Linked DNA regions of Danio rerio. The protein of the gene in region 1 purifies or fractionates together with the protein of each later gene. This does not show direct contact. Links are inferred from orthologs where the notes say so. Each region holds a gene or a part of one and is shown in the gene's direction. Other genes may lie near its edges.

Region 1 (6,501 bases):
AAAGAGGTTAAGAATGAGGTTTGCAAGTTTAAAATGTTTTTAAAACAGTGCATGTTTGTCGTGAATTACAGCGATTTTACCATCTTTATGGCAATACAATTATAAAAGACGACAATGACAATACAATTATAAAAGACGACGCTTCCATCCCGGTTTGTGGACGTTAAATCAGGTTTATTTTGTACATTGACATAACGGATATCCACAGTAGTGGATATTAACGTGTATCCTGTCAAATTTGCTGTGCAAAAACAGTGCAAAGTTACACACTTTGTGTGTGCTTGTGTGAATGTGCGTAAACTTTGTAACATCATTGTGCGTGACTCATCATTGCAGGAAAGCTTGAATAAACTCCAAAACAAATACATCAAATAATCATTGGGAAAGTTCTTACTGTAGTATTTCTCACAAACGTTACATGAGATCTGCTTCCTTCATGTCTGTCACTGTGCTGTTTATCTGACGCAGCCATGGCGGAGATTGAGGAACACTGACAGGCATGTGGAAACGGTGGGTGGAGAGAACTAGCATTAAAGCCACAGGACACAAAAACAGCTACATAGTGTTCAGAGCAGAAAATTTAAATATTCTCAGAAGTCTAATAAATAATCTGATGGGTTTTTGAGCTAAAACTTTACAAACACATTCTGGAGACACAAAAGACGCATCTTAAATCTTGAAAAAGCGCTTAAATATGTGCACTTTAAATTTTTGCTTTTGTAATGATGTGCTTCACCTTGTTACTGATCAGCTCTGTTCATGGGTTATTCTGTGGATCTTTCATGAAGACTACTTCAAAATAACTAAATTAATCCAGCGGTAAGAATAGATGGAATTGCTGTAATCTTCTCAGTTTTAATATTACAGTTTATTGAGAATTTCTAGGTTAAGTGGACGTCTATTTTGGTGGCTAGCAAAGGTTGAAAGTCTTTGCTCTAGTATAATATAAACATCTCAAGTCTTTCTGAACTTCATTTCAAACATGAACTTGAAGGATTGAGTAGGACTGATCAATTATTTTAAGATTCTAATGCAGAGTTGCCACTATAGAATATTATTAATCCTGAAATGCTCTAGTTGGTGTCAGTCATGTTGTGTTTTATTGAAGAGCTGTGAAGAAATATGGAAATGGTGCTGATTGTTATTAAAATAAAAATTATTATTTGAGTGGTTTGTTAGCTCAGCTAGATGAATTGAACAAGGAATGTTTTAACTATGGTGCTGTTTGGTCATTTTTTATGGAAAAAATGTTTGTTTTTATTCTAATCTGAAAGAAAACACATGGTAAAGGGTTTGGTACTTCCCATGTGAACATGCAAAAATAAAAATTTTAAATAAAATGGGCAGGATTAAAAAGGTCACATGATCTTGAAAATAATAGTCGCATGTTAATTGTGGTTAAAATGACAACATTGGAAACAAATAGGAAATGTCTTGTAGAATCAATAGTGAAAGCTCAAATTGTTTGTAAAAAACTTTTGGAAAAATATTTCAGAATTTATTTTGCACATTTTTAATAACATTAACAAACTGAGTAAGTTTTTTTTTTACTTTCACTTTTATATTCAAGATGTATGACCGTTTGGAAAGTGACATTTAATTTTCAGGTATAGTCAAACACGGTCAACGTATGATCATCATAGTTTAATACAGTTTTATTTAGTACCATAAAGTTGCAAATTCTAAAAGCCAAATTAAACCAAAACAACGTTTAATATAGTGCAATGAGTCTAGGCATATTTGACATTGATTCAGATTGTTTTGACTGCCATGCGGACATAGCTATGAGTTTAGGACAGATCAACTTAACCAGAGGGTGACCTGAACATTCATTCATTCGTTTTCTTGTCGGCTTAGTCCCTTTATTAATCCGGGGTCGCCACAGTGGAATGAACCACCAATTTATCCAGCACATTTTACGCCCTTTTGATTTTACATTTTTGATGCCCTTCCAGCCGCAACCCCCTTGGAAACATCAACACACTCGTTCATACACACTCATACACTACGGACAATTTAGCCTAACACAATTCACTGTGAATTGGACTGCGGGGGAAACCAGAGCACCCGGGGGGACCCCACGCGAACGCAAGGGGAACACGCAAACTCCACACAGAAACGCCAACACGGTACGAACCAGCGACCTTCTTGCTGTGAGGCGACAGCACTACCTACTGCACCACTGCGTCGCCCATGTGACCTGAAAAAAGATGTCTAAATTAAATTATTTTAGACCTTTTTGTTATGATTAACAACCATACAGAAGTAGGAAATCCCGCAAAAACTCTCCAACACAGTGAAAAACAGCTCGAGTGTGTGTCAGAGGTAAAATGCGCGTGCCTGCTTCAGGGAAGGGTCGCTCCCAAAACGTGCTCGTCCCCGCTGAGACACGTGATGACGTTTCACTTCTAGCTTCTCAAAGATTTCCCAGTTAGCGACTGGCGGACAGTAAAGATGGCGCCGGAGCTTACCGTGTGTACGAGTGCGACGAGAAGATGACGACGATACGATTAGTTACTTTCGAGCCGCGGCGTTGACAGTGCTTCACTTAACGGCCCTGCGACAGAGGCTCGCGAACTTACTGACTTTGGCGGTAGTTGATCAAACCTAACGGACACAACCCGCGCGCGGACAGACCTTTGCTTTTGCCATGGAGGATATCAACTCAAACATAAACGCGGACTTGGAGGTGCGGAAGCTCCAAGACTTAGTAAAGAAACTCGAGCAGCAGAACGAGCAGCTCCGGAGCAGATCCAGTTTACTGTCCTCTTCCTCCCCTGGCGGGAACACCAGACCGGTGAGCGCCGGGTTTGACTCCCCGGGAGCGGCAGCGGCACTCGCCGGGTTCACAGGGGTGGGGTTCGGCGGATCGAGGGGTTTCGATGAGGCTTTGAAGAACTCCAGGCTGAGCCCCAGACGATCATATCACGGCAGCAATTACGGAGATTATGATAGTGACAGCGGTTCATTTACCACCTCGAACACGAGTTTCGCGTCTTATTACAACGATTCCCTGGATTATATCGAGGACGGAGAAACTTCAGTGCTGGACGAGGTGGAGGTCCTCGATTTGGAGGACATGGATTGCCTGTACGAAGAGGAGGACAGCTGGTGAGTAAACTGTCAGTGCAAGGTGTTAACCCCGATCACAGGAAAATCACCTCTCCCAGACACGCGCACACACTGTTCATGTGTTTGACAGGTGCGCGCAGCTGCGTGTGTGTGTTGTGTGCGTGCAGACGACACAGAGAATGACGCGTGTTTGGTGGAATGCGCTTGATACATTGTTGCTCTCCTGTCTCTGACTAAGGGCTGGGGTTGCTTTATTCAGTGCATTCACTGCAGTACGACTGTCATCTGATGATTAGTGCCTGGTGTCTGAGCATTTGGGAGCAACAGTTTGCTGACTGCATGTATTCAGCTCGTACCACGGCCTTTCTTGCAGTTGCTTCTGACGTGTTGTTCTTTTTTATATGTCCTTCAGGTTATTTTAGAAGCAAGATGTGCTTCGTACATCTTCCTAATGACAGCCATGGTGTCATGCTTCAATGATGTCATTACAATCACACACACACACATGATGCATTTGCATCTAGATTTACTTTCTGCTCAAGCCTCGGATATGCTGGAGCAGACTATGATTGTACATAAAAGATGTACATAGCTTTCCGCTTGATCAACACTGTTTATGGCTCATTTAATGGGATAATTCACACAAAATTACAAACTGAGATGTAGATGACTTGTTTTTCTTCAGTAGGACATTAAAGAAGTCATTTAAATCATAAAATCTTATTTTCTAGGATATAGAGTACAAAAAAATGTATAAAGGCAAGATTAAATGAATACTCCTTGTCTCCTAAAGTCATAAAGCGAAATGATCAGTCTGTGAAAGAAACTGAACATTATTTACAATATTATTAACCTCAAATGATGTTCCCTTTGTGAGATTGCATGTGAAGAAGCCCACTTGGTGAACTGTTTGCAGAGGCTGTGGATTAAATAATAATATTGTCAATAATGTACTTTTTGCACAGACTGACTATTTAATGCAAAAAGACCTCAGTCTACCATCAGAAACAACTGGTATAAATATAATTGGTTTATTTTTATTTTTTGTCTTTGTTTTTCATTACCTCTTAAAGTACTCTTAGACTTTTTATGCATAATATAAATCCCTAACGACCACAGTTTTAGCAAAAAAAAAAACCAATAAATTATACTGAAGGAAAATTTGTCAACAAAACGATTTTTTGAGAAATAATTACAAAGATTTACATTAAAAAAAAAAACAAATCGGAAAAACTTTTTTCCTCAATCTACATGCAGGTCATGCAATTGATAATTAGCGCTACTAATGTAAATGTATGCATACAGTGCTCAAGCAAAGATGCACTGAACAAACAGTGTGAAACAGCTGTCCACAGGTATGTCTGCTAGTTCTAACAAAACAAGTAAAAGTAGAAGAATAAAATATTTAAACTGCAGATGGATCTCTGTTTAAAGTCCAAATTCTGTTATAATACTGGAATGAATAAAAATGAACTAAATAATTATAAGTAAATGAGTGTGGCAAAATAAATGGTGTCACCCATCGATGTGCTTCAGTTCTAATTTGTGAGCTCAAATATAAAGTTTTTCAGGCATAATTCATAAGAGGATTCATTTTTAAGACTTTAAACTTTTCAAACCAACTTTTACTTATTTGTCAGCATAAGCTAATTATTTAAAATATAAAAATAATATTAAATGAAATAACTTGCGATTTGACTCATGTGCAGCCAAAGTGTTGTGTCCCATTTAAAATACCAACTAGATAAAATCAATGCAGACTGTTGTAAATCTTTATTTACTTCTATTTCATCTAGTTATGACAGCTTATTCAGCAGGATTGACTCTAGTCTTAAGTGTCTCATTATCTGTCAAAAAAAAACATTATAATGTGCTGATATGGAAAATTACTTGGCAGTCAATCAATTATTATTTTTCAATCAATCCTGACTCCTAACTTTTGAGAATATGTATTTCTCTTTATTTAATATATATATATATATATATATATATATATATATATATATATATATATATATATATATATATATATATATATATATATATATATATATATATATATATATCCTCTTTGGCTCCTGCAGTCCCCGTAGACAGCTGCCTTTTATCATTTTTTGATCTTTTGTGGATTGATATATCAGTGTAATCCATTGTTTGTGTTGGCTATAATCTGTGTCTGAGATTTTCTGTGGTTTAGGTCAGTTTTCACAGACTCAGAATGCTGTAATCCGGACACTTGATCCGGTTTAGTTGTATATCTTGCAGTGGCAGCAAAATGCTGGGAAATCCCTGCAACAGCTGGAGTCCAACAGATCAGTGATCTAACAGAGCTAACACTTGATCACTACCAAGAGTTGGTAAAACAGAAATGTACTTGTCAAACAGCTTGATTACAGCAAAGAGGATACAGCATTGATTTAATCTTTTTAGTCACGGCAAATAAAGGATGAGATTATCTTTTCTTTGCTTGTTGTATTGTAGATTTAAAGGTGTTTAGGGTCACTAATGATTTCCAAGTCACGCTGTTAGCAAATCTCTTGACCAGATAAGAAGATAATGAATTTGTAATTGTTGAATCAATAAAAGAGCAGGAGTATGTGCACAGTTCTCAAAGTCAGATCTGCTCTGTTAGGATGATGTGAGCATTGCATAGCACATATACTAAAAGTTTATCTCAGGAGAAATGCACTCAATTCTGACTGCCAGATTCTTTCACCAGCATCAATCCTGCTAAATACTCCACTTGGTTGTGTGCCATTCCTCCTTACTCCTTTCTGACTGATCAAAATGGTTTATGTCAGTTTATTTGACAAACAGCATTAAATCTGTCATTGATTAGAGGATGTGCTGCAGGATGAGTAGTGTTAAAATTTGACTCCAACCTACGCAATATTCTTACACTGTTATTCAATAGTCTTTATCTGTTAGTTTTTTACAAAGGATTAATCAAATTGTTATCTATACTGAAAAAGTAACAGTACTAAATGTACATTGTAATAACTTTAACTGTATTTGCTTTTAATTTTATCCAAATATAGTTTCTACAAAAATGTTAAAGAGAGACTATGGCAAATGAGAGATTCTTAAATCTTTTTCTAATCTTTCCATCTAATATTGCAAAAGAATTAAATACATTTGCAGAATTGACATGAGGAAGGACTACGAAAACAGTGCAGCTAAATGCAATTCTTTAAATCTAACTCTTAAAAAAATACTTATGATCTCAGATTTGTTCTTATGAACTTCTTATATATATATATATATATATATATATATATATATATATATATATATATTTTTTTTTTTTTTTTTTTTTTTTTTTTGAAATAAAATCAAAGTATAGCTACAACAAATTCATTACCACTATATTTTGATTATATCACTTTATTATCAAGTTATAAAGTAGCAGCCACATCCTAGTTGAATTGT
Region 2 (6,504 bases), on another chromosome or scaffold:
ACATCTAAACATATTATTTGCTTTCTGGGTCAATTTAAAGCATATAAATGTTTGTTCTTAAATTCCCAGATGGTGGTTTTACAATTCTTTGTGCAACATTTCAGTGATCATTTGGTTTTATAATAATTTTTTACATTTAATTATGAGCATTCGATGATTTATAAAATATCTGAATATCTTGCTGTCTGGGTCAATTTGAACCATATTTAATTATTTTCGTAAGCTCATAAATGTTAGTTTCACTTTTTTTGTGCAACATTTCAGTGATCATTTGGTTTCATAACCATTTTTATCTTGTGATTGTGAGCATGGATGATTTATAAAACCTACAGATTTATTTCTAACAAAACAACATGAACATAAATATTGCATTCAAAACATTTACTTTTAGATGAAAGTAAGTGAGATATGGGGGAAGGCCTAAATATATTTTTCTTTTTACACAGATTTAACTATAGATATGTTTACTGGAATTTTCCAATAATGATAATAATAATTTATAATAAATACATTTATACTTATAATACATAAAAGGTCAGTGTGTTCTGTATAATATTTAAATAAATGAATAAAATAGATAATGAGAAAATACTTGCTTTTTTACCATTTATGAGAAAACAGGTCATTATAACATCTATAAAATATCAGATCTTAAATATTGTAAACAAATGAATGAGCAAATACATTAAATAAATTATAAACAATTATTGTTATTACATTTTTATTCTAAACTGTGAAAGCACTACAAAAGATGTGCTCAGATTATTCTCAGACTGAAATACAATATGCAGAAAATGCATATGCAGATTATGTCTTAAAATAAATGAAATCACCTCGTCTGAGGACAGCCGATATCCGTAGCCTGTGTGTTTAATGTATGTGATGTAAGCTGAATGCAGGTCAGTAGTGCGGGGAGAGGGAGTCAATGCACTGACTGACCTCAGCACAAACATGCCTTTGTTATGTAACTCTCTCCTCTCCTCTACCCTGCCCCGCCCATTCTTCAGTGTGCTTTTTTGGTTTAGTCTTTGATTCTTTTATAAATGTTTTTGGCATACTAAATGAACATACAACCGCAATGCATTTCTAATATTTTTATGTATACAAGTCCATAAACATTCGCAAAGGCATATATATGCACGCATTGTTTTGTTTAAGCTTACCATACATGATCCCATAACAGTCTGGCACTCATTGAGGCATTGGATGTGATCCGATGCTGCCCTCTTGCGAAAAAAGGCAAGACACTGCAGGTGAAAAGGGTAAATAATTATTAATAGTTATCGCCATGCTTCCACAGCTGACTGAAAACATTAAGAATTGCAAAAATCATAAAGTTTGTATTACAAGTTTCTACAATGCTATATTTAAGTAGGCATGTATAATTAGTATTGATTATTCTGCATAAATTTCTAGCACAAAAACCTGAACACTGAATGATAATAGGTTCAAAATTTTTGATGCTTTTTTGGCATATTTAGAGTAAAAGGTTTTAACAGAAGGGAATTAAATCACTGCTTGATTCGGAAAATTCAGAATAAAAATCAACAAATTGGGTATAAACCTCTGTAAACATTTTATCTATATATGAATTTTATTACTTTCTATATTTATTAATATCGATAAGAACAAATCTGTATAAATCTGGAGTCCAAAAGTGATTAAAAATCATTCTGAGAAAAATTTGTATTGTAATTGAAATCTATGGAAACACTATAAACTTTTAAACGTGTTTTTTTTACGTTTAAATTTAAAAATTTCTCAAAATTGACAGGTACATCAAATGTATGCTTTTGCTTGCCATGACTGCTGGTAATGATTAAAAAAATGGGTAATTAAAGCTAGGTAAATCATAAAAAAAAGTTATTGTACCCACTATACTTTTTAAAAAGATAATTATGTTCATAATAATGCACAAAAACAGCAATAAACATATATATTTCAAGGCGTTTTACCAAATTCATGGTAAATGGTTTTTACCTTGTGAAAGAAATTTTGAGGATTCTTTTTTAAAATCACCACTTAATTCTAAAAAAATCACTTTTTGTAGAAGAAAATGGAGTATTTGTGATCAAACTAATTATGCATAAGCATGTGCCTCTGCAATCTTTTACCTTTATATTAATATTATTATTTTCTGTATGTATTAGCTTAGAAACTAATAAAACTGTAAAAACTTGCGTCCGTAAATGATGCTGAAGTGATTTTTGCATGACAAAAATATATTGAAATAAATATGCATTGTAATTGAAATCTATACAAACAATTTCTTTACAATACATTTTTTTAAATTCAAAACAACAAGTACATTGTCATTTAAATGACAAGTATATCACATGCATGTATTGCCATGTCTGATGGTAATAATAAAAAATAGTTATTATTAAAGCTTAAAAAAATGCATCAACAACAAAATGATTTAATGTATGCGTTGATTAACAGCAAATATATTATCAAAAACTAAAATTATAAAAGACAATTATGTCCATAACATGCACTGTTATTGCAATATGAAACGAAATTCATATTTAATACATACCCTGTTGCAAAGCTTGTCGTCACGTTCATTGTATGGAGAAAACATACAGTGAAAGTACATTGTGGTTCAAAACATCACTCTTCCCTGATAACTTTCCATTTTCAAGACAACTCAAAACTAAAGTATCATCTTCAGTACAGCGAAACACTGTAAACGAAAACAAAACAGTTATATCTAATATCTAAGCTACAACAACAGCAGTAGTTTACACTGTCAAATCTACACTTGTTTTCAACAAGTAAAAGGGTTAAATGAGGTTATTTATCTTCATAAACCGTCTGCGTCAACGGCTTACCCTATTGGCTGGTTTGGATGTCTGTCAAATGTATATCCTGTACAAAAGCGCAGATTGACGTGCGATGCTATTGGTCGATTCGTATAATCGCCCCGCCTGACGAGAGTTGATTCTTGCATTTAATTGGCTGAGAGTGCGCCGTTTAAATTTGAACCGTTTCAAACGGGGAAAGTTATAAATGCAACAACAACATCTCTATGCTGTGTGTCGAGCTGACTGTCTCTGCGAAGAAAACGGTTTTTATTAGATTTGAGCAGTTTGAATAAGGTACGTATTTTAGAAAACCGCCCCCGAGCCACGTTTATAGGATTGTAAGTTATTAATGCGCGATATGAAACCATAAAGGTAACTTAATCGCTTTGACTTTTTTGCTACGTGAGTGTTGCCAGAACGTCGAACATTCTGATGTAACGTTAACTTAATCCTGTTATTTTAAGATTGCGATAAGTGATTGTTAGCTATCCTTTATGTAACGTTAGAGATTTTTTTTCTGTTATAGTTAAATTTCTAAAGTTCGTATGGAAAGGGCATAAAAATGTAGAATTAACATTAAGTATGACGTTACGTGTAACTTATTGATTTTGAGCACTGTTGGAGATAACGTTAATTTATTTGCATTAAAAACTTTTTTTTAAATAAATAACAAATTCTATATTTATTTATTCATTCATGTATTCAATGTTGTTTTGTCATCCACGTGGGTATGTGAGCTGTTAGGCTAAATTCTGTCTTGCACTCAATTCTCTGGCTGTGCTAAACGTTATGTGGTTTATTTATATTTTTCCACTGAAGTGAGGGATTGATCTGATATCTCACTTTTGTTCAGGTTAAAATGTGATCATTTGATTTATGATAGTGAGCTGTTTATCACCTGTCCAGGTAAGCTGTAGGAGAGAGAAGCTGTCAGAAGTACCTGTCAAATACAAAGCTGACAATCATATTGTCAGGCCTACATAGTTGAGCAGAATCCAGGCAAGAACAGATAAGGCCAGAAGTGGTAATGATTTTGTTTTTTGATTTTGTTTGTCAATCTCTTCCTTGTTCCTACTTATTCTCACAAAAAAATCACAGTATCAGGGGATTGGCATAGTGTTTGATCATGATATATATATATATATATATATATATATATATATATATATATATATATATATATATATATATATATATATATATATATATATTTTTTTTTTTTTCTTTTCTTTTTTTTTTCACTAAAAAGAAGCACTTTGTTCCCTCAGCACAAGGCTAAATTGTCACTGGTTTGGGTTATTAGTCACAGTGGGTTAGTCTGAAAGGAGATGCAACAGATTTGAAGTGTCTCAGGACTAGGGTCTCTGGGTGTTGGGTCAGATGCCCGCCTCCGGGTCTTATCAGCAAAAGCAGCTGTTTATGGTGCCTGCTGGGCGTGACTTTCCAAAACCCATGTTGTCATTTTCTGTGTCTCTGTTTTACAGTATGAGTTCTGACGCGCTGAAGGAGAATCAGGGAGCTGTACGGATGAACAGCAATTCTGAATTCGCTTGTGACATTTTCATGTTGGATCAGCCGACTGGCAGACCCTCGATTTTGCGGCAGTCGCAGGCTGACAACATTAACAGGACTGCTCCTAGAGCAGCAAAGGTGGGCTTGACAAATTTCCATGCAGTATTTTTTCTGTACTGTATAATGTGTAATAAAATCACTGGTTATAAACCAAGTGTTTTCCATTTTAAAAAGTAACTTGTTCCTTTGACTGTAAATTTACCTTTTCTATAGACACTTTCTTTAGTGTCATATGAGCACATCTGAGTGACTTTTCAAGAAACAAAAACACTTATGAATGGCAGGTCGATTTTGTTGAAGCCATGCTACATTTTATTTTGGATTCTTTAATATTCACAAATGCAGTATTTATTTGTACTATTATAAATTTTATTTTGCATGTAATAATTGAACCCTTTCTTGGCCTTGTACTACAGCTTAGACTAACCTGCACGTTACTTAATTTCTCTTATATAGGTTTGTTTTCAAACCCCACGGCGAGATCCAGTGACAAAGAAGATCATGTCTCCAAGCCGCACCAGTAGGCCGATCAGCCAGGATGATCACAAAAATGCACTAGAGACTCTCACAGGCCTTTCTGACCAGTGAGTAAATTACCTGCATCTCCAATTGTTCAGGACTGTTGATGACCATTTGTGTATTTGGTGTACCTTTTATTTATATTAATTTCCACCAAAGGCACTTCTTCGAACAGACCCAGAGACTTCTGGTGTAAAATGATGGGTAAAACATAATGATCCTGTTTCCAAATAATATTAACATGGGTTTTCAAAAATTTTGTCTGAAAGCTGTAAACTTGCTTGGGATGTATTCACGGTGAAAGGACATATTTCTTTCAAATCTTTCACAATATAATGATTCAACTTTATAATTGAATCCACATATCATGTTTGACCTGTGGTGCATGCTCAAATAGGATTCCTATTTGACATTACTTTTTCTTCTTGACTATTGTTGATGCCCACATTGCAAAACAATATTTCAGTGCTAAAACAATATTTTGTCAACTTTAATGTACCACTCTAATAGTACAAGGTATTCATAAGAAAACTAGGTTAAAGATTAATTTTTAAAATATTTTTATGTAAGCCTCTTAACCTGTTTTTAATGGACAAATATGCTAACGTGTAAAACCTCCTTTTGTGTTTTTCAGGAGTTCATTGATGAATAACACTCACACCACACCAATTGACATAGAATGTAACAGTGTTGCTTTACCTGATGATGACATGCCTGTTCAGAGCAGAGGGGCCTATTCCTTTGATCTTGACAATATTGATGCCATCAACCCTTTCCAGGGCTCCAATAAAATGGCGAATTCCCCACCTAAATCTTCTGCTTTTACGGAGGCGGCAACATCAGAGCTTGTAGAGTCTAACACAACCATAGCCCCTGTTTCTGCACCCCAGGTAGAGGTAGAGACAGAGGCAGAAGTGACTGACAGTGCATTTGAAGAAGCTGTCCCATCAGTGGAGAATTCCCTTGCAGAATGCTCTGCCAACATCTCATCGACAGAGGGCAACGTAGCCCCTGTTCTTGCACCTCAGGCTGAAGTTCCAGAGGTGACTGAAAGTGCACTTGATGAGACTCTCCCATTTGTGCCATCAGTGGAGAATTCCCTTGCAGAATGCTCGGCCAACCTCTCTTCAGCAGAGGGCACAGTCATCCTCAAGACTGAGAATATTGAAAACAGCACCAATGAAACAGAGGAGACTGAGATCACTGACCCAGTGGCAGAGCCACAGCAGATTCCTGTTTTTGAGGGTCAACCCGAGGCACAGGACTTGCCACTACCTTCTGCAGGATCTTACAAGTTGGATTTTGACAACCTTGAAATGCTCAACCCATTCCAAACTGGTGGGTCAAAGATCCCCAACTCTCCTCCAACCAAAACATCAACAGTTTTTGACCCACCCCTGCTAAGCCACGAACCTGAACAAGAGCTATCAGTCCAGACAGATATCCCAACATCCTCCGATCCATCCATAACACCTCAGGAGAACTCCACTGCCACAGAGAGTTCCTCATCTACAACTGCCCCAAAGGAGAGCCAGATGCTATTAGAGTTTAATTTTGATGATGGAGCTGAAGTTAAACGCAAACCTCCTCCAAAACGCCTTGGGGT

What was found.
Region 2: the proteins of slain2 (region 1) and tacc3 purify together in Homo sapiens (co-immunoprecipitation; 3 studies listed by BioGRID and IntAct, counting the BioPlex papers as one, with this or other methods). This does not show direct contact. The link is inferred for Danio rerio from reciprocal best matches to the Homo sapiens genes SLAIN2 and TACC3.

What each region holds. Positions count from the first base shown.
Region 1 is NC_133195.1:26,070,522-26,077,022, reverse strand, and holds the start of slain2 (SLAIN motif-containing protein 2), read left to right. Parts: upstream 1-2,447; 5' UTR 2,448-2,650; coding exon 2,651-3,111; intron 3,112-6,501.
Region 2 is NC_133188.1:39,350,649-39,357,152, reverse strand, and holds the start of tacc3 (transforming acidic coiled-coil-containing protein 3), read left to right. Parts: upstream 1-2,984; 5' UTR 2,985-3,101; intron 3,102-3,713; exon of another isoform or gene 3,714-3,831; intron 3,832-4,291; 5' UTR 4,292-4,292; coding exon 4,293-4,457; intron 4,458-4,835; coding exon 4,836-4,963; intron 4,964-5,532; coding exon 5,533-6,504. Other genes in the region: mfsd2aa (sodium-dependent lysophosphatidylcholine symporter 1-A), read right to left, coding at 1,164-1,247, 2,540-2,599. UniProt on the Homo sapiens protein: Plays a role in the microtubule-dependent coupling of the nucleus and the centrosome. Involved in the processes that regulate centrosome-mediated interkinetic nuclear migration (INM) of neural progenitors.